4 linked regions of the Caenorhabditis elegans genome follow. The protein of the gene in region 1 interacts with the protein of each later gene in a pairwise test. Each region holds a gene or a part of one and is shown in the gene's direction. Other genes may lie near its edges.

Evidence for each region.
Region 2: the proteins of sqst-2 (region 1) and kin-4 interact in a two-hybrid assay, tested with the Caenorhabditis elegans proteins (one large-scale study listed by BioGRID).
Region 3: the proteins of sqst-2 (region 1) and rpy-1 interact in a two-hybrid assay, tested with the Caenorhabditis elegans proteins (one large-scale study listed by BioGRID).
Region 4: the proteins of sqst-2 (region 1) and ZK849.1 interact in a two-hybrid assay, tested with the Caenorhabditis elegans proteins (one large-scale study listed by BioGRID).

Annotation. Positions count from the first base shown.
Region 1 is NC_003282.8:7,327,256-7,330,665, reverse strand, and holds sqst-2 (ZZ-type domain-containing protein), read left to right. Parts: upstream 1-1,690; 5' UTR 1,691-1,705; coding exon 1,706-1,774; intron 1,775-1,818; coding exon 1,819-1,969; intron 1,970-2,015; coding exon 2,016-2,120; intron 2,121-2,376; coding exon 2,377-2,780; 3' UTR 2,781-2,895; downstream 2,896-3,410. Other genes in the region: ocr-4 (Ion transport domain-containing protein), read left to right, coding at 1-114, 167-446, 521-766, 814-987.
Region 2 is NC_003282.8:11,423,929-11,428,771, forward strand, and holds the start of kin-4 (non-specific serine/threonine protein kinase), read left to right. Parts: upstream 1-1,813; coding exon 1,814-1,872; intron 1,873-2,205; exon of another isoform or gene 2,206-2,226; intron 2,227-4,843. Other genes in the region: F22B3.8 (Tyrosine-protein kinase), read right to left, coding at 12-205, 353-576, 624-769, 952-957.
Region 3 is NC_003280.10:6,701,732-6,707,500, reverse strand, and holds rpy-1 (43 kDa receptor-associated protein of the synapse homolog), read left to right. Parts: upstream 1-1,857; 5' UTR 1,858-1,957; intron 1,958-2,003; 5' UTR 2,004-2,007; coding exon 2,008-2,097; intron 2,098-2,228; coding exon 2,229-2,305; intron 2,306-2,354; coding exon 2,355-2,620; intron 2,621-2,665; coding exon 2,666-2,813; intron 2,814-2,855; coding exon 2,856-3,018; intron 3,019-3,070; coding exon 3,071-3,187; intron 3,188-3,333; coding exon 3,334-3,399; intron 3,400-3,629; coding exon 3,630-3,758; intron 3,759-3,807; coding exon 3,808-4,007; intron 4,008-4,055; coding exon 4,056-4,186; intron 4,187-4,441; coding exon 4,442-4,797; intron 4,798-4,900; coding exon 4,901-5,005; 3' UTR 5,006-5,268; downstream 5,269-5,769.
Region 4 is NC_003279.8:14,182,044-14,187,666, reverse strand, and holds ZK849.1 (PDZ domain-containing protein), read left to right. Parts: upstream 1-1,959; 5' UTR 1,960-2,071; coding exon 2,072-2,149; intron 2,150-2,642; coding exon 2,643-2,834; intron 2,835-2,936; coding exon 2,937-3,098; intron 3,099-3,548; coding exon 3,549-3,688; intron 3,689-3,740; coding exon 3,741-3,861; intron 3,862-3,907; coding exon 3,908-3,979; intron 3,980-4,596; coding exon 4,597-4,689; intron 4,690-4,742; coding exon 4,743-4,880; 3' UTR 4,881-5,072; downstream 5,073-5,623. Other genes in the region: gopc-1 (Golgi-associated PDZ and coiled-coil motif-containing protein), read left to right, coding at 1-14, 75-208, 267-405, 818-982, 1,031-1,131, 1,731-1,806.

The DNA of each region.
Region 1 (3,410 bases):
TATTCTAATGGTCATCACATTTTTTCTGAGAATATTTTGTTTGGATGAAGCCGAGGATATTGTTTGGATAGTGATTGTTTTATTAACTTCATTGAAATTTCTGTTCTTTTGTAGGTAAGTACGCTTTATGATTAGATCCACAATAGGAAATAAACTACTTTTCCAGAGGATTTAAGTCAGTTGGACCATTCGTCTTGATGCTCTATAAAATTATAATTCGTGATTTAATGAGATTCTTCTTGATCTATTTGGTCATTGTAGTTGGCTTCTCTCAAGCATTTTATGTCATATTCCTCGGTTATAAGAGAAGTGATTCTGGAAATCGTGAACCAAGCATTATGAGTAACGTTGCGGAAAGCTACGTACGGATGTTTATCATGTCACTCACAGAGTTTACTGTATTTTTTGAGCAATTGGAAGAATGTGAGCATACCGTTATTGGAAAGGTAGGCTTACACTTTTTTTAAAACAATTCTAGACTAGAAAGATCATCGAAAAATATAGAATTTTTGATTTTCAGATAACATTCGTAGTCTATATGCTTCTCGTAACACTTTTGCTCATTAACATGCTTATTGCTATGATGACTAATACTTATACAGAAGTCTCTGGAAATTCATTAGAGTGGCTTCGACAATGGTCTGCAATTATTCTAATGATGGAACAAAGTTTTGATCCAGCAACCAGGTTACGGTATCAAAGAAGATATGGAATACGTTTTGATGGAGGTGAAAAACTAGTTTTATTGTTAAAAGATAAAATGACAGTGAGTTCCTCTTACACATTTGCCAATAGTTTGATGATAAATTTAAGGAGGAAGAATTCGAGTGCCAGCGGAAGAAAATGCACGAAGAGCGTCGTAAATTCCGTGAGGAACTTCGCACAAACCAGAGAAGACGGCCAGTATTTATATGCAAGCAAGGAGCAAATTATTTCAAATCGAAGCATCGACATACTAATAATAAGTTGATTATTCCTACCGGCTAATTTTTTTTACTGTTTCATTCTCTTCCTAAAATAATTTGTCTAATAAATGTTGGATCTTGTTAGTGAAAAATGTGGAAAGTTGATGTTTCTTCTTTGATTCCTCAATCTTGCTTTTTTAGAAACCTTTAAATTTGGCAGTGGAAAACTTTAAATGAAATGGATGTCTCAAATAGTTTCCGGATTTAATATGTTGCATTCAAATATTTTTATTTAAGACTGTTTAATTTAGAACATTTTAAAAGTGTTTTTTACTATTTTTTGGTACTGTTGCAGTAACCATAATCAAGTATAACGATATGAAAACTTTCAAAACGAACTGCTCAGCCAGTCCACAAGCGGCATACTGTTAGTTTATTTCGGCAAATTTTGTCAGTTCAATTTGAAAATTTATTTATTAAAAAAGGATTAAGAACTCACCCAAGAGAATGCCCATCGTTTTTAGTGTTATTTCTAGTGTTATACCAAGTCAATTCAGATATTTCAAAAAATGCAACATTCTCTGATGTGCCTTCTTCTTTTCTTTGCTTTGCTCTCCAAAAATGACTAACGAGTGGAATGTTATCTTATCAAAAACTGCATCATTCAGCATTTGACAAGAGTTTCACTGGCGCTGAAATCAACATTTTCACTTCTCGACTCTTCCTAACTTTTTTTCTAAAATTGCTCATTACTTCTATAGATTAACTTTTTAGTTTTGATTTAGTTTGGGTCAACAAAAATGAGTAGTATTCGATACAGGAGACCACCAATCATAGAACGAAGATATGAAAGAACTCCATCATATTCGGTAACTTCAAGAATATTCGATTTCAGTAATAAAACTGTTTTCAGACGATTCCAAGGGATATTCATGTCTCATTCTACCATAATAACTATCACAGATCAAAGATTTTGTATTTGAATAAGTTCAACGCAATGGAAAAATTAATTGAAGCTGCACACGAATTGTATCCATCAAATGGTGTTTATCGTCTATTTTCGGGTGAGTTTTTTGAAATGAAAAAATATTTGTAATAATTTTTTAATAGATAGTACAATTGGTGCTCAAAACGAGTTGAATGATTCAGTGCAAGTTATGGAATGTGTTCAAAATCCTGATCATATTCTTCCACATCTACATATAAGACTGGAAGGTAAGATTTTACGGAAAACTTTTTAAAAAACAGTTCCATAGTCCTATTATAACAACCTTGTTAGTTCTTTGTTAGATAATCTTACAATTTGAAAATTCAATTATTCAAATTAAGTTTTTTTAAAAAAAGGAACAATGATCTTTCAAAGTATTTTTTATTTTCAAATTTTGAGAAATTTCAAGTTGTTTTGCAAAGGTGTGTTCTTATGTAACTCAAAACTAATAGTAACAAAATTTTTAAAAATTTAATTTTTCAGATTACCGTCCCAGAAGCATAAGCCGTAATTATCACGAAGTTAACGTTCCAATAATTCGAACTCCATCTCAACATTCAATCCATCAATCTGTTCGATTCAACGATAACAAACGTCATCACCATCATCATCATCATGATTCAATAAGAAACTTCGTCCATCATGACACTCCATGCCGAAACTGTTTCCGTATAATTGTTGGAAGCCGTTATCACTGTCTTCAATGTCCAGACTATGATATTTGTGGAGACTGTGAAAAAGATTTGGTTCACTACGAGCATGCTCTTCTACGAATTGTGACTCCAAGGGTTACAAGTATTCCTGATTATGTCACAGTTAACGCCCCAAGTTACATTTTCCCAGAACATCGTTATGATATCAAAAGAGAACATTATCATTGGTTTTAAATTGTATTTTATAGTTTTGTTGTTTTTCCTATTTATGTTGTGAACTTAGTTTTTCTGTCGGATTTCTGTCCTATCTTGTTATACTTAAAAAGACCAAAAAAGTTATGTAATTGCAGAAGTGCAAAAAACCAAGACGCATCCTCCATTCAATTTTAATTTCCTGAAATCTATCTCGCAAAAAAAAAAACAAAAAAAAAAATTCCCTCTTATTTTGAATTTTAAAATTAAATTTTTCTTGTGCTTTTCAGAAATCTGTTCCAATTGAATTTTCATTCCTATTGACTTGTAGGACTAGAATTAATAACACCGCGGACCACCTTTATTGAGAATTTCAAAAACATTTTGTAGGCCATGTTTCCAATTTTTAATTGTCTTAAAATTAACACAATGTTTCAAAATTTCTATTTTAATTGGCTCCATAGAACACTTTTCCATGTAATTAGAAAATGCCTACCTGCCTGACACCTAGAAAGTGACCAACGCTTACTGTGCATTGAAAGCATGCAAGTAGGCATTTTTGCATGCGTGGGAGGTTTCTACAACTCAGCCAAAGCAGTCTATTGTACCTACCCATTCCTTATTTATTCTTCCGCAATCACCAATGACGCGTTCATGATTTTTCACTTTTTC
Region 2 (4,843 bases), 4.1 Mb from region 1:
CTCAAACATACATTGTGATAGCAAATCGGGTTGACCTTATAGTAGTTGATAAGCTCATCAATAGTCGGAAACTTGAATCGCCGCTCAATATAAAACGAGGTCCATTTGCCGGCGGTTTCTTCAATAAACAAATGCATATCCATGTTCTCTTTCTTCACATCCTCCAGATCCCCATAGAAACTTCGTGTGGTGCCGGTTTTTTGTGCTGAATAGGGAACATAATTGTAAAATCTAGAGTTTTTCAACGAACAGTGAGGGCAAGTTCCCCGCAACAGCTTGACAACTTATGAGAAGTTCATTGAATAAGTTTCCAAGCTGCTAGGAAGTTAAAAAAACAAAAAATAAAACAAACTGATATTGACGGACAGAACAAGAATGACACGAGTCAGTGGAATCGGATCAGTGGCACTTTTGTCCGGAGTCGTCGGCTTCTTCGCATTCTTCTCTGGTTGATGCGACAATCTCAGGAGAAAGTCTCCGTTCGTCTTCAACAAGATCAGTTGTAGCTCTTGGAGCACAAAACCATGGAAAAATTGGTATCTCAATAAATAATTGTCAATCATTTCATTAGTTACTCTGGAAATTAAAAAGTGTTTTGGGATATTTGGGATAAAGTTGCTCACCTTCCAACGCTTTTAGTTTTTTCTACATTTTGATACATTGAGTCGTCCGGAAAATTGATCATAACTGAGTTTGAAATACTGCTGCCATCTGTTGTCCTTTCAGTCTTTTCGGTCGTTTCACTCTTACATTCTTTTTTCTCAGATTTCTGAAAATTGAAAATTACATTTTACTATACCAGGAATACCGAATTTGTCTTTTTTTTAAATAATCATACTACAGGCGACCCATTGCAGGAAACTTATTCTAGAATTTCTGATGTCTTATTTTATTTTCAGGTAGACGCGTAGCCAGGTACAGGCAGGCTCGAACTCCCGCACTCCAACTCACCTTCATTGCAAAAATTTTACGACGATTTTGAGTAAAATTATATTGGGAAATAAATAAGTTTGCCTCGTCGTATTTGTTTTTTTTTTCAATTTTTTTCACGGGAGTTTATGTATTTAAACATACAGACAGTGATACAACTCAAATTCAGAAAACTTCCAGGAATCAAACTTCATCTGAAGGATTAACGGTTAAACCAAATTTTCCTGACAACAAAGTGCAAAGTCACTGCTCGACAGTTAGGAACAACTTCCTACTCCTGCCATAATTTAGCATCTTCCTATCAAACCTTTCATCAGCGGCAAGCAGGCAGGCGAGCACGTCTGAAAAATTCATGTCTACTATCGAACCCCTTAGAAAATATATTCATTTTTTGCAATTCACAGGATGTCAAAATATTGAAAATTGTTGCTTATAGAGTGGAAAAAAGGAGATTATTATAATAGCTGGTCTCAAATGTCAACGGCAGAAGTATTTAACTAGATTAATATTTTCAAGTTTCATGTTTTCGGATATGTCACCATTCACCATACACTTTACCATTATCTAAATCTAGAAATGTTACAGTAATCCATGAGCACACAAAATCAGAAAACGAAGAGCAACCTTGTGATGAGCTGGAAAAAGGGGATTAGTAGAGGTGAATGTTGAGAACAGGAAAGAAAGAGAGAGTGAGAGGATCAGAAATACTTTCAATTTATTTATAATTTTATTCACATCACAAATCTCTCTCCACTCAACTGCCCATAGTGATTGATAAGCTCCGGCGTTTCGCCTACTCAACGTTTCCCTCCAAAAACTCCAATCTAACTTTTTATTTTTGTTTCTAGCCAATCTTTTTTTTTTTCTATAGTTTCAGAATCAAATGCTCAATTTTGGAGTCGTTATGTATCAAAAGAAGAGCCCAAGTAATGCAACAGAAAAGTGAGTTCTGAGTGTATCTTACCAAACCGAAAAAAGTAAAAATGCAACCTATAAAACAAGATATTATCTCTCTCATTGCAATAGAAATCTCCCCCTAAAAAAAATCTCTTTGCACATGTCTCTGTCAGTTCTTTTTATGTTTTGCGTGCATAGAATTGCCGATTGTCGGATGATTTTCTTCTTCGTTCGATGAAAGCGGAAATAATAGAGAACAGCGTTTTATTGTGGTTTTTTGTTTTTTCGTGTCAAAGTTTCTGTAAAAGTCATGATGGTAGAATTTGTTCTAACTGTTTTATTCTTTTATTTTTAACTTTCAATTTAATTATAAATCAATTGCATATTATTGTCCATGTAATTAAGCTTTTAAGTTATCAAGAATAAGTTGAAAATTTTATTTGCAAATATTTTTTATGTCGAATTTCGATGCAGATAATGTTTTTTTTTTCCAAAACCGCTAAAATTATTTCAATATTCTTTATTTTTTTTCTATAGTTAAAGAAAAATTTTTTTAGAAAATTAACAAAAAAACTAAAAAATTACCAAAAGTTGTTCATTTTGATGAGAAAAAACATGAAATGTTTTCTCTGAAAAAAAAGGAAAATGGTCAAAATGTTAATATATTTTTGCAAAAATCGAATTGTTTTCGAAATATCTGAAAAACTAAAATTTTTCGGAAACGGTTTTTCTATAATACGCTTTGTATGCCAGGATACATTAAATAGAGAAAAATTGAGACAAAGTCCAATTACTGAAAGTGTAACATTTTTCTTTAAATTATGATCTAGGATAGTTTGTTAATGAAGCGATATTGCTTCTTGTATGCATACCTATGTATGTATGTCATTTCCGAAGTATTATAATATGTATCCTAATCAAGAACATGGATCATAAACATCTTTATTTTTATTATTTTATCTTTATTTTTCAACTCGATGTAAATTAAAAATCTTCACTAGTAGCCAGTAGCTCGACTTTGCAAATGCGTTCGTTTTAGATTTCGTCTTGTTTCCGATTGGCCCGGTTATTACGTAAGCACCTAAATTTTAATGTTATTGCATCTCATCACTACTTAAAAATGAGTCAAGTTTTTGAAATAGAAATACGAGCTTCATTGTGAAGATCACGATATTCTTTTTATTCGAATAAATCTGGTTGCATAGCTGTAGTACGTCAACGGACGAACCTGGATGAAATAGTGAATAAATATATTTTCTATAAAAAGGAGAAAATAAAAGAAATGTTATAGTTGACAGTTAATCCTTTGCATGGTGAATCTGTTGGCGGATGCCAGTTAATCTCCCTGTTTATCCGTATGCTCATATTTTTAAGTCGTCTTCAGTCGTTGTCGTTCTAAAAAATTTGGCCATCGATTGGCTCAGCTTCGTCTTTTTTGCCTCCTTTCACTTCTTCTTTTCTTGTCCGATTTCAGAAAAATTAAGATAATAAATTGCTTCAAATTTTGAAGTGCAATACACTTTCGCAGTCTAAATGCCTCTTGTTTTCTAAAAGTTATGCCAATTATTTATTCTTTAAAAATATTGGACTTACTGCCATGGAAGTCATATAGTTTCGCTACAAAAGTAGTACCTGTTCTGTGGTTTGGGTATTTTTCGAATTAAAATTTTTCCAAACTCAACTTTTTTGTGCAATTCTAAATGTATTTTTATGAGTATTCTTTTTTCTCCCTCTCCTATGTACATCCGCCAGCAGATGCTTGTTGAATTCTTATCGAAAGCTCTTTATCAGAACTTATTTTGAAAAAAATGTCAAGCATTCTCCGAGCATAGGTTTAAAATATTTCTGAAACACAGGTACATTTAACCAATCTCTCAGTTGAAAAGGTTACAATTTTCAGTATCAAATAAAAAAGTATAACACAATAATCTTTTGCACTTGACTCGCGTCATTTATCTGATCAACATGGCTTCATGCTCGGAGAATGTTCTTCTTTCTGCCAAAATGACTCACTGGAAATACTTTGAACATTATCAATGAAATTCAAAATAAAAATCAAAGAATAAGACTTTAAACTTTGAAAATTAGGACTTAAAAATTGTTGTAGAAATGCACCTAGCTCTTCAAATTTTGTTTGCCACTTTTTTACTGAAAATTGATGGCAACATACTTGAATTCTTTGATTTTTTCTCTACTAAAGGAAAACAAAAATCTTTGAAACTTTAAAATCAATGGTTTGTGTTAACTGAATTTGGTTCACCGATAGAACGATTGTTGTAAATCAAGGAGGTTAAAAAATTGAAATATCGATTAGTCATTGATTTTGAAAATTCAAAGCTTCCAGACAGAATGCCTCTTTGAAATACCCTTTGAACTATCAAGCTTCCTCCTCTTCCTCCTCTAAAAATAACGTGAATAAATTGTTCGAAGAGTATGGAATCATCTCATTTCCGATTCATATTCGTTTCCGCTATCAAACAATTTAACAATTTAATATGATATTCAGAGATGAATAAAATGCATTTTCTGCTCGAATGCCTTTTTTAGCTCGAATAAGTTTCTTCTTGCGTATCAGTTGGCAGGTGCAATGCTCAATTTTAATTTTAAGAAAAGTTTACATCAGCAAGCCCTACTTTCTCATTCTCTCCTTTTTAATTTTGTTTCTTTTGTTGTCTTGAAAGAAATTCAAACCCTTAAAGTATAAAATTGAATCAATTGGGTGTTCTTCTAATTGTCTCGTTCATTCAAATATCACTATGCATTAGGGAATGTCATATCAAATTGAATGATGAAAGTAGATTAGAAAGAGAAAAGAGAACATCCATTTAAGTATTCAAGTTAGCTTTTTGATTTTTCTAGATTTTTATGAACTAAAAATTGAGAATATTTACACTTGGCTGAGAACCACGGCGCGAGGAGATCGTTGAAGAGGCTGAAAGAAGCGACATCGCCCAAATATGAGGAGGAATGGCGTCTTCCGTTGAATTTTAGGAATTAGAATTTTTATGAGTATCAT
Region 3 (5,769 bases), on another chromosome or scaffold:
AGATGAATGACTTGATGCATTACCAAAAGTTTTGCAATTAGGAAAAAAAGCTATTTCAAAATTGTGTTTTTTTTTAGAAAATTATTAATAACTCTCAATTTCAAATAGTTTTTTTTCTATTTCACGACATTCAATTTATAATTGAAGTTCAAATGTAGAGTTATTTTTTTGTAAATTAATCATGTTAGTGAAACATATTTTTTTCCAACTTACAATAAACCATGGCTCACTGTTCTTGTTGATCGAAATTTTTTTTTTCATTTTTAAAATTACGTCGATATGAAAATGTAGTGCTGAAAACATCAAGACTTATTTTGAAAATATATTTGGATTTCTAAAAATATTGTTTATTTAAAATACTTCAAGTGGGGCATCCAGAGGTGGAACTTTATTCCCTTAACATTTTATTGTCGAAACTGAAATTTTCCTGATTTATTTTTTCTAAATAATCCTTTTTCATCTTCATCCTTAAAAATATTTCTAATCTAATCGGTTCTTCTCATCGTTTTCTTCCACACAATTCAATGTGTCCCAACTCTTTACCCATCTCTTCACAAAAATGTCAATTTCTGTTCAATTTCCCATGGGAGTTCGATTTTCCGTTTCCCATCCTTTTCCAAACTCGGAGAGCTTGGGGCAACTCAAGAAAAAAAACATTTGGAATACGGATTCCTTAAGATGTGCATCAAAGTACTAGACCTCCTCTTCTTCTAGATCTACTTTCTTTTTCCCCGTATTCACTTCTTTTGTCCCAAATTTCTTTTCATTCCAAATTGGATTCAGTTCCCCTGAGAAGCTCGCCTGAGCCGGCGGGTCACATTAGAGAGTACTACTCTTCTTTTTTCCCGAAAATTTCAATTTGACAGAGTGATTTCAAATAGGGACTAGTACCGAAAAAACATTTTGGGCGGAGTTGTAAACGGTGAAAAAAGTTTAAAAGTTTGAATTTATCTTGAGTTCGGACTTCCTTTCGTTCTAAAAGTATATTGCACAAACACAGGTTTTTTTCGAACTCCAAAACTTGACTTCTAGTTGAAGTATATGTTTAGTTAGTTTTCTAATAAATATAGTTCATTCTAGGACTATTCCCATATTTCCTACCTGCCATTTTTCTTGCCTACAGCAATTTTTCAGTGTCGCTGGGAACTCTTGTATATGATATACATTTCTCCCATTTTAACTTTTTGTTGAAAGTTTCTTCTATGTCATGCCAGTAAACATGCGTGTAGGCAGATAGTTTATTTTGTGCAGTTTGCACTTTTGCGCTTGCTCTGATGTTTTTCTCTCAAATTGATTTTTATTCTATCCAATTGGCATTTTCATTTCTTATCTGTTTCCCATTATCTTCCACAAATTTCCCTCTCTTTTTTCGCCTCATTTTCCGTTTCCAATCCCATCATTTTTCGTTCATTTGCTCCCCACCAATTTTTCCTCAATCGTCTCATGACCTCAAATTGATGGATCACTTTCTCACCTATATCTCTAAATCTCCATGTCTATTCATACTATCTCATCTTCATCTCGAATATCAATCAAAAGTCATCCAAGAATTCTCGTCTCATGAAAATGTCAACACAAACAAAATGTGCTTGAGCTAATTGTTTTTTGTGGGGTGGAACTTTTTGTGCAAGAGCCTGAAATAGCTAAAGCATATAAAATCTACAGTAATCCCTTCATAATTGATCCTCTGGTACTCCATCATTATTGCATGCAGACTCAGAAATGGATTCTAAAACAATTATTCATCAATTGTCCTCTTCTTTTCTTTCTTTTATTTTTCACCATGCACATTTTTCTCTTTCTGCATCGAAAGATTTATAAAATAAAAACTTCAATAAAAATTTTCCTAATTTTCAGATGAGATAGGATTGATAATTTTTATTCGTATTTCACACACACGTAGAAAAAAGAAGAGCCATCACTAAAAACTACATGATTACTTGCCGCCGGTCTGTAGGTAAGATATATTGAGCATGAAGTTTGAATTATTGAATATTATTCAGGTCAATGGGTGTTTTTGTGTGTCGCGACAACATCAATCTCATCACGAATCATCGACGATCAATGGGACAGCGGCAAGCAAAGCAACACATGCAGGTTGGTAATAGTTTTGATATGGGGAATTTTTTTTTCGGAAACTAAAATTTATGCGAACTTCTGTGATGTTTTTTAAAATGTTTTATCATTCCTGTTTGGCATTCCCCAATTTTAAACATTTATTTCTGCAGGCTGGCGTCAAACTTTATCATCAACGACATTACGCACAGGCTATCAATAAATGGAGACAGTCTCTGAACAGGTTAAAGTAAGTCTTTCAGACGACTCCTCTTCTTTTCTATAACGTCCATTTTCAGCAATGCAGAAGACCGGTTTATCACTCTCGGATACCTTGCTCAAGCTCTTTGCGACCAGGGAGAATACGAAGGAATGCTTTCATATGCTCTATCACAAATGCAGTTGGCAACCGATCAAAACGATTCAGCAATGAAATGCGAGGCATTTTTGAATCTAGCAAAAGCCTATGAACGATTAGCAGATTTCACGAAAGCCCTCCAGTATGGCAAAGCATCGTTAGAACATCCTTCGATGGATCCCAGGACGCCTGGTTATGCACATTTAAGTAAGAATTTTCAATAGGTTCTAGACAAAACTGTGGCTATTTCAGCAATAGCACTTGCACACTTAGGAATGTCCCAGTTCCAACAGTGTCTGGAAAGTTTCGAGTCAGCAATGAATGTTGCCAATGAGACATCGGATAGGTTACTCGAATTGCAAATTTGTGTTGGTCTAGGATCTCTTTTTACTCTTTTGAGGTAACCGTACAGAAATGAAAAATAACACATTTTTATTTTCAGAGATATCACTAAAGCTCTGATATTTCTTCGAAATGCTCTCGCAATTGTTCAATCTGTTACTGTTGATGATGTTCATGCAAAGTATCGTTGTTTGATACTTTATCATTTATCAGTTGCTCTAAGGATGAAAGGAAGTCTGGTTGATGCCAAGGAAGCATGCGATGTAAGTTTTTATTTAAAGTTTAAGAACTTCAAAAAGTATTGAATGATTCCAGGAAGCTTCCCAGCTAGCTGTTGAGATGGGTAATCGAGCGATCCATGCAAGATGTATGTGCAGTTTAGCAGATATTTATAGAGAATTGGGAGAGAGTGAAGCCAAAGAGACTATCACTGTGAGTAATTTTAAATTCTCAGTTATTTCAGTAAAAAAACGTTATGCTTGAAAAGTTAATAATAACAACTAACTTTCATTAAAACTTGTATTAGAAATCAATGAGTTTTTTTTTTCTATTGTTAGATAATAAACTCTTTCTTACAGAAATCCTGGGCAAGATACGAAGATGCTTATCGTGTAATGCGCGGAGCAAATGATAAAATGGGCGAAGTAAGTGGCCAAAAAACCTTCAATTATTTATTGGTACAACCAAATACCTCATAAAACCAAAAGCTCACATCCAGGTCTCAATTTCTTTTCCCATTAAATAACTTTTACGACTTTCCCATAAATCTTGAAGCTTTGTGGTTGACACAATCTCACATAGAGATCAGACAACATGAGTATATTTCTGGGGAATTGTGAGAAAATAATTTTAATAAGTTCTGAGTGTTTTTCAGGTATTAGTGCTCTCGTCAATGGCAAAAAGTGCATCTGAAAGTCGATCTCATTACACTGGACAATGTGAATGTCAAGCTATTCAATTGAATAAAAAGTGTATTGAAATTGCAAATCAGATAGGGTGCAAGGTACAAAATCGATAGGATGATTCCACAAAACTTCAAAATTTTGTTTCAGCACGTTGTCTTAAAGTGCCATCTCCGACTAGCCGAACTATATTCTCAACTGAATGATGACGATTCTGAGGAAACTGCTCGAAGAGCTGCGTCTCGGTTAACACAAGAAATGCAATTGTTTTGTAACTTCTGCGGTCAAAGATATGGATTGAAGGATGAGAGTCTTCAAGCTCTTAGGTGTTCGCATATTTTCCATGAAAAGTATGAATGAGTTTCAGAGATTCTAAAAATAAAGTTGTAATGTTTCAGATGCTTACACACGTATCTCCTACAAAGAACAGATCAAACCTGCCCGAAATGTAGATGCAGAGCTGTTTTATCGGACAATATCTCGATACGAAGTTCTATTGCTTCAACAATTGATGTTCAGAGTCCTAGCAGTAAGATTTTTATTATAAACATTTATACTTGAAAATTTATTCGAAAAAATATTAAACTATGAAGCCGAAATTTGAAGTCAACTTTTGTAGAGTATTCAGCAAAAAACATGGTAAAGAAGTTGTCCAAGTTTTAGTTCAAAGCGAACTTTTTCTTCTGAAAACTATTCTAATAGTATTTTTAAAGGTTTATTTTTTATCATTATTGAAAAAATATTTTTTGAATGTCAGCGCGTAATCAATAAACTTTAATTTCAGCGTCTTTCGCCCCACCGGGAGGTGTTGCCACTCCACTTGTCTCAGCAGCTGCCGAACTTGGAGATATCACACCACAAGCCACATTAACACGACGTTCACAACAGGACAAGATTCTTCGTGGCGCCGAGAAAGATATTGATCGAGTTGATCGAAGTCTTGCTAGGCTAAAATCACAACAATCTGCAGCGGCGAATGCATGTTCAGCAGTTGCAGTTCCGTCACCTGAAGTACCTTCAACAACGGCTTCTTGTGCTTCCGAACCGATTCTTACTGCATCGACGACATCGCAGTCACACACGCATTCGAATGCAAATCATAAACCACCACCACCTCCACGGAAACCTTGTTGCTCACAGGTAATATTATTGAAGGAGTTTAAATGATCTTTCTGAACTTTAAATTTTTTCATATGACCTTAAATTGTATTTTGAGAAATCACCTAAATTTGAATGTTTTCAGGCAGCCCTACCTCCATCATCAATAGTAGCTCTTCCTCCAGCAATGCCACTAGCAGAAGATGGTCCTCTTGTGATAACTCACACGCCTACAGTAACAGATGTTTGAAGCCTCAATACAAACTGCAATCATCCCCTCGAAATCCCTTGTTTTGTGATATCATTTATCGTTTTTTTTTAAATAGGAATCTTCAAAATTTTGAATTTCTAGTCTTCTACATTGTCACCCACCAGTTTCTTTCCTGCTCATGTTCACTTTTCAATCTTTTTTTTCAATTAATCTTTTAGAAGTTATTCTTATTTTTATTTTTGATCTCAATTCATATGTTTCAAAGTTTTAATTCTTTCCATAAAAATTTGTTTCAATTTTTGAATATGATGAAATCTTGTGCATGATAACACCCACAAGCTGAAACTTTGTGTGATAGTTGTCCATCTCATTGAGAAAAATTCTGAAAATAGATGAACCCACATGATTTTATTCTCTAAAACTTCAACATTTAACAGAAAAAAATTCAAAATCGGGGGAATTTTTAAACGGTGAAAGCAATTTTGAATTGAAAACTGTGTACGGGCTTAGGAGAACTTAAACATAGATAACCGCTGTATTTTTTAACTCCATCTTCCAATATTTGAATTCAAAACTTAACTAGCATAAAAATTTTAAAGATGACCTCTGTAAACTGTAATAATTAAAAGTTGGGCAGCAATCTTTGTATGATCTAAATCAAAATGTTATCTATATTTCAAAGAACTGTAAAGTGATAAGTTTCCAAAAAATCTTATAGTTTTTTAAGTGATTATGATTATTGTAGTCATCATAATTTCTTTAAACACTACAGACGCCTTTCAGAATAATGTCATCATTTTACC
Region 4 (5,623 bases), on another chromosome or scaffold:
AGTACCTGGATAAGGTAGGCCATCGGGCTTTAAGGCTTTAAGGCTTCAAGGCTTTACATACCCTAATCTTCCAGGAACTCGCAGGCCGGATACAACAAATCCAGCTCCTGGGACGAAACATGCGCGGCGTGGAGCACGACAGGCTCTGGAACCAGCTGGAAGCCGAAATTCACCTCCACAGGCACAAGACAGTGATCCGGGCTTGCAGGTAGGCGGTCACGTTTCCCATGGCCGCTCCCCACTTGAACAATTTGCCATTCTTGCAGAGGACGGGGTAACACGAAGGGATTAACGGCGCCACTTCGTCACAACTTCAAGAGCCTCCGAAAACGAAATGGAGTGGGAAAGAGCAGGAAAGTGGTGCTCTCGAAACACCCGCACGAAGGGCTCGGCATTTCTATTACGGTAGGTGGGGGGACTTGGATGGTTTTGGGCCAGTAGATCATTGACTAGACTTGTTCCTTTGGGGATCCACGGGATCCTGTAAGATCTGAGAGTTGATCCAGTTCCCGTAAGACCAAATGTGCCATCTGATTATGAGGTACTTTTGCACGTGGTGTCAGGCTGTCCCATTGCGGTTTGATCTACAAAAAATGCGGGAATTTTTCTCCCAGTCAGTTGAAAAGTCTGCGTCTCTTTTCCCGCATTTTTTGTAGATCAATGTAGATCAATCTAAAATGAGACACTCTGACAACCCCTGCTTTTGTAGTTCTGCTGCATAGCTCAAAACTACTCCAGATAGTTTGCGGAGCTCCGGATGGATCCTAGTTCTTCAAGATCTTAAAAAATCCTACTGGATCCTAAAATCCATTTCCAGGGAGGATCCGAACACGCTCTACCCATAGTGATATCTGAAATCCAGCCGGGACAGCCTGCTGACCGATGTGGACAGGTCTTTGTGGGCGACGCGATTCTCTCAGTAAACGGCTACGATCTTCGGACTGTCAAGCATCAGGAGGCAGTGGATATTTTGAGTGGGCAGGTAAGATGCTGCCAGGGGCCCTCCACCTACATCCCCTCCAAATTCCAGGTACAGCAAGGCGACCTAGACCTGGAGCTCGTCTTTGTGTGCCCCGATGAGGATAGTGATGATGATGGGACGGTGACGATCGAGCACAGCGATGGATCTATGTGAGTTATTGGGAATTTTTCGGCGGGAAATTTGAATTTCCAGTTAGTTTTTAGCGGGAAATTTAAATATTCAATCGATTTTCAGCTGGAAATTTTGATTTTCTGTTAATTTTTGGCGGGATTTTCATATTGCCAGTTAATTTTAGGCGGGATTTTTAAATTTCCAATTGATTTTGAGCTAGAAATTCAAGTTATAAGTCAGTTTTAGGGAGGAAATTCAAATTCTCAGTTAACATTTAACTGGAAATTTAATTTTTTAGTTAATTTTTCAACTGGAAAATCAAAATTTTGGTCATTTTTCAATAGAAAATTCAAATTTTTTGTCGTTTTACTATAGGAAATTCAAATTTTTAGTCAATTTGCGACAAAAAATTCTAAATTTTCTGTCTATTTTCGGCAAGAAATTCAATTTTTCAGCCTATTTTTTGGGGGAAATTCAACTTTTTAATGAATTTTTCGGCGGGGAATTCCAATTTTTTGTCGTTTTTCTATAGGAAATTCAACCTTTTAGTTAATTTTTCGACGGGAAATTCAAATTTTCGGCCAAATTTCAACAGAAAATTCGAATTCCCAGTCAAATTTTTAAATTTTTGTTTTAGCTACAACCTCTACAGTATGGAAGAGCCCACGTCAAGCCGATCGTCCAACAATTCTGATGAATCACGCAGCACGTGACCTCCAAAATGTGGAATTTTTTGACGGGTTTTATTTAATTTTTTTTTCAAAAAAAAAACTTTTTTTTGTATATTTTCCCGTGACTTTCCTCCTCCCCCTAATTGCCACGTCATTTCCTCCAACTCATTGGATTTTTTTTTGGCTTTTTCCAACTTTTTGCATAAAAATCTTTTATTGTTTGAGTTTATCGATTTTTCTTCCGCAAAAAAATCAATAAATGACGTGTCAACAAATCAATCGTCTTACTGCTGTCTTCAATACGGCAATGTCCAAGGCGCTGGCTTCCGATGAGAAGGACGACTGGATTACCCATTTGAAGGCAATTTCGAATGTTTTTACGCAGGTAATATGATCTTCCGGTCGGGCGGGAATTTGAAAATTCTGGGAGAAATATTGATTTTTTGGAAAAATGTCAGTTTTCCGGCAAATGTCATTCAAAAAATTATTGATTTTTCGTCGCACTCCAACGACACTCCGATATTCCGCTGACTAAAAGTAGGCGTGGTCAGGCGGGAATTTAAAAATTTCGCTTTGAAAATCAGTAAGAAATCATCGATTTTTGTGAAAATTGTTAGCTATCCGGCTCGAAATATCGAAAAACGGTTTGAATTTTGTTTAGTATAAAGTTTCTTTAAAATCCCGGTCGGGCGGTAGTTTAAAAATTTTAGAAAAAATCGATAATGTATCGACTTTTCGGTATCCCGGTACAAAACTGTGGCGGGAATTTGAAAAGTTTCCAATAGTTACTTCAAAACTCCTTTTTCTCGGTTATTGAAAACTTGGCAATGACGAGAAAAATCGATAATTTATTAATTTATCACAAACTATTTTTCCAGGTTTGCACTTTGTCCGCCAGTGAAGAATCCGCTAAGAAATTGGCAATCAAGGAGCGTGAGGAGTGTCTCCAGGAGCTCGTGGAGCTTCGTGCCATAGCTGAAGCCCATGATGACGTCATCCAGCAGTTCCACTTGTTGCTGGCCGCGAATCATCAGGGAGACGCGACTTCCAGGCAGATTTTCAATGATATGGTGAGGGAATGTTGCCTGCCTATACCTACCTAGGTGCCTACAAGTACTAGGCAGGCAGGCACTTTCGTGCCTACCTGCCTACTTCAACGCTTAATATTTCAGAAACAAGAAGTCGGTGACAATATGGAAAGGATCCAGGAGCACCGTCTTGTGGAGGCTAAGCTCAACGTGGAGAAGCGGCGTAACGAGCGGATGGCGAAGCATATCAATGAGGTGTCCAAGAAGAGTGTCATGCATCTCATGGCAACCAGGTTCTACGCAAGGGTACGGTTCTACCTAGTCGATGCACCATGTGGGGTAGAGGTTCAGGTAGCTCTGGTTACCCAAAAATTGGTGATTTCCACTTTGGCCACATTTTTTGCTAGCCTAAACCTCAGCCAAAGCCTACACCCAAACCTAAGCCTTAATCCAAGCTTAAGCCTGAGCTTAATCCTAGGCATAAGCGTAAGCCTAAGCCTAAGCCTTGGTCTAAGCGTAAGCCTAGATCACAGCCTAAGCTTTAGCATAAGCCTAAACCTAAGCCTAAGCCTAATACTAAGCCTACGCCTAAGCCTAAGCCTAAGCCAAAACCCAAGCCAAAGCTTCAGCCTAAACATTTTGTCGATGCACCATGACATTTCCCCCACTTTTTTTCTAGATTTTTGGCCCCTACGCATCATCATTTTTTACATGATCATGTCCCCTCCCCACACTTTCCCATGAGACTCATTACAGGAGCTGGCAGCAATGCGACAGATGATGGATTTGGTGCGCAACGCGGCAACGATCGAGTCGGCCGTCAAATCGAAACTGTGGGACGAGATCGAGAAGGAGAACCGCTTGTTGCGTCTCAACACGCTTTGGCTCATCAATCGGTAGGTGATGGATTTCTGTGGGAACTTGTTGGAGCATCAAAAAATTTTCCAGGATCAACTCGTCGGACCTTGGTGATGCTGCATTTGAGAACGGAGACGATTGGCAGAGCTCTCCGCGGCTCGTGATTCTCATGAGAGAGCATATCAATCAGGGGCTTGGGCTCGAGATTACGGTTGGTGCCGAAAAGCCAAAAAATTTGAAGAAATGGAATTATTCAGGGAGGTTGTGATCAGTTCCGTCCGGTCGTGGTCACTGGGAAGTTGAAGCGGTCGATGGCGGACGATGATCAGGTACAGTACTCCTACAGTACCCCTTTTCCTACAGTACCCTTTCCCTTCCTATAGTACCCCTCCCTACAGTACCCCCTTACTGCAGTTATTTCTCTCTACAGTACCCGTTTCTACAGTACACCCTTACTACAGTACCCCCTGCCTGCAGTACCCCACTTCTACAGTACCCCTCCCTACAGTACCCCTTCCCCAGTACTCCTTTACTACAGTACCCCTGCCTACAGTACCCTTCCTACGGTAACCTTCCAGCAGTACCCCTACCTACAGTACTGCCTCCCTACTGTACCAGTCCTCTATAGTATTCTTTTAGCAGTTCATCCTTATTGCAGTACCCCTTCCTACAGTACCCCTTCCCTAATGTGCCCTTCCCTGCAGTACTCCTTTACTACGGTATTTTCTCCCTACAGTACCCCATTTCTACAGTGCCCCCTCCCTACAGTACCCCCTTCCTACAGTACCGCTCTCTACAGTATCTCTCCCTGTAGTATCCCCTGCCTACAGTACCACTCCCTACAGTATCCTCTCTCAACAGTACCCTATTCCTACATCACCCTCCCTACAGTATCCCTCTCCCTACAGTACTCTCTCCCTACAGTACCCCTACTTCATATTTCCAGCTCCGTGTGAACGACCGTATCTTGGCGATCGATGGGACCTTCGTGACCAACACCACCACCCACGCCGAGGTTATGGAAATGCTCGAGAATGAGGTGAGTTTCGCATTAGAGCGCACTTGTAGCCTTATATAAATTTGAATTTCCAGAGCGCCAAGGATTTCATCTCGCTGATTGTATCGCAATTCGACCCGACCAAGTACCACGAGGCCCATCCAAACGGGAAATGTCACAAATTTGTTAGCACACCAATTTCGGGAAAAGCCGATTCGGGGGAGGATGTCTGAATTGTCTTTTTTTTTTTGGTTGCAAAATTTATTTTTCTCTAATTCTCTCCCTCTCGTACAGTTTATAGACTTGTTTGTGTGTCTCTTTTCGATTTTTTTTTTATTTCTTTTTGTGTTTTGCCGCCAATTTTTTTCGTTCTTCTCATGATTACCCCCCTCTGAACCTTTTTAAAAAATAAAAATCAGCGGCTGTCTACGTCTCAGGGATATCAAATGAGACGGAATTAAAGTGGCTCATTTGAGTTTTATAGGTTTTCGGGGAGAATTGATTCCTGGGAGCTTTTCCTCCACTGCTTTTCATTGCTTTTTTGTTGTGGGAACACTCTGCAACAAATTTGGTGGTGAAAACCTGAAAATTTAGCAATTTTCTCATTGGGGCGCATTTGCAACATACCAATTTGAATTTTCAATAGGAAAACTTGTTTCTCTTGTTTTCACATTAACTTCTATCGATTCCTTTTAAATTTTCGCTGAACCGTGATTTTCCAGCAATTTCGCGGGAATTTGAATTTTTAGTTCGAAATTGCACTTTTTTGGTTTTAGCAAAACTGGTAAATAAATATAACAGTTTAAATTGTTGGTTTTGTTGGAAAATCACAAGAAAAATCGATTTTCCAGTTATTTTCTCATTGGGGCGCGTTTGCATTATGCGGTCCGCGAGAATTTAAATTTTTTAAAAAGAAAACTTGTTTTTCGAATAAGTTTAAGACAATTTGCGCTCAAAAAATAGCTAAATGCGTGAA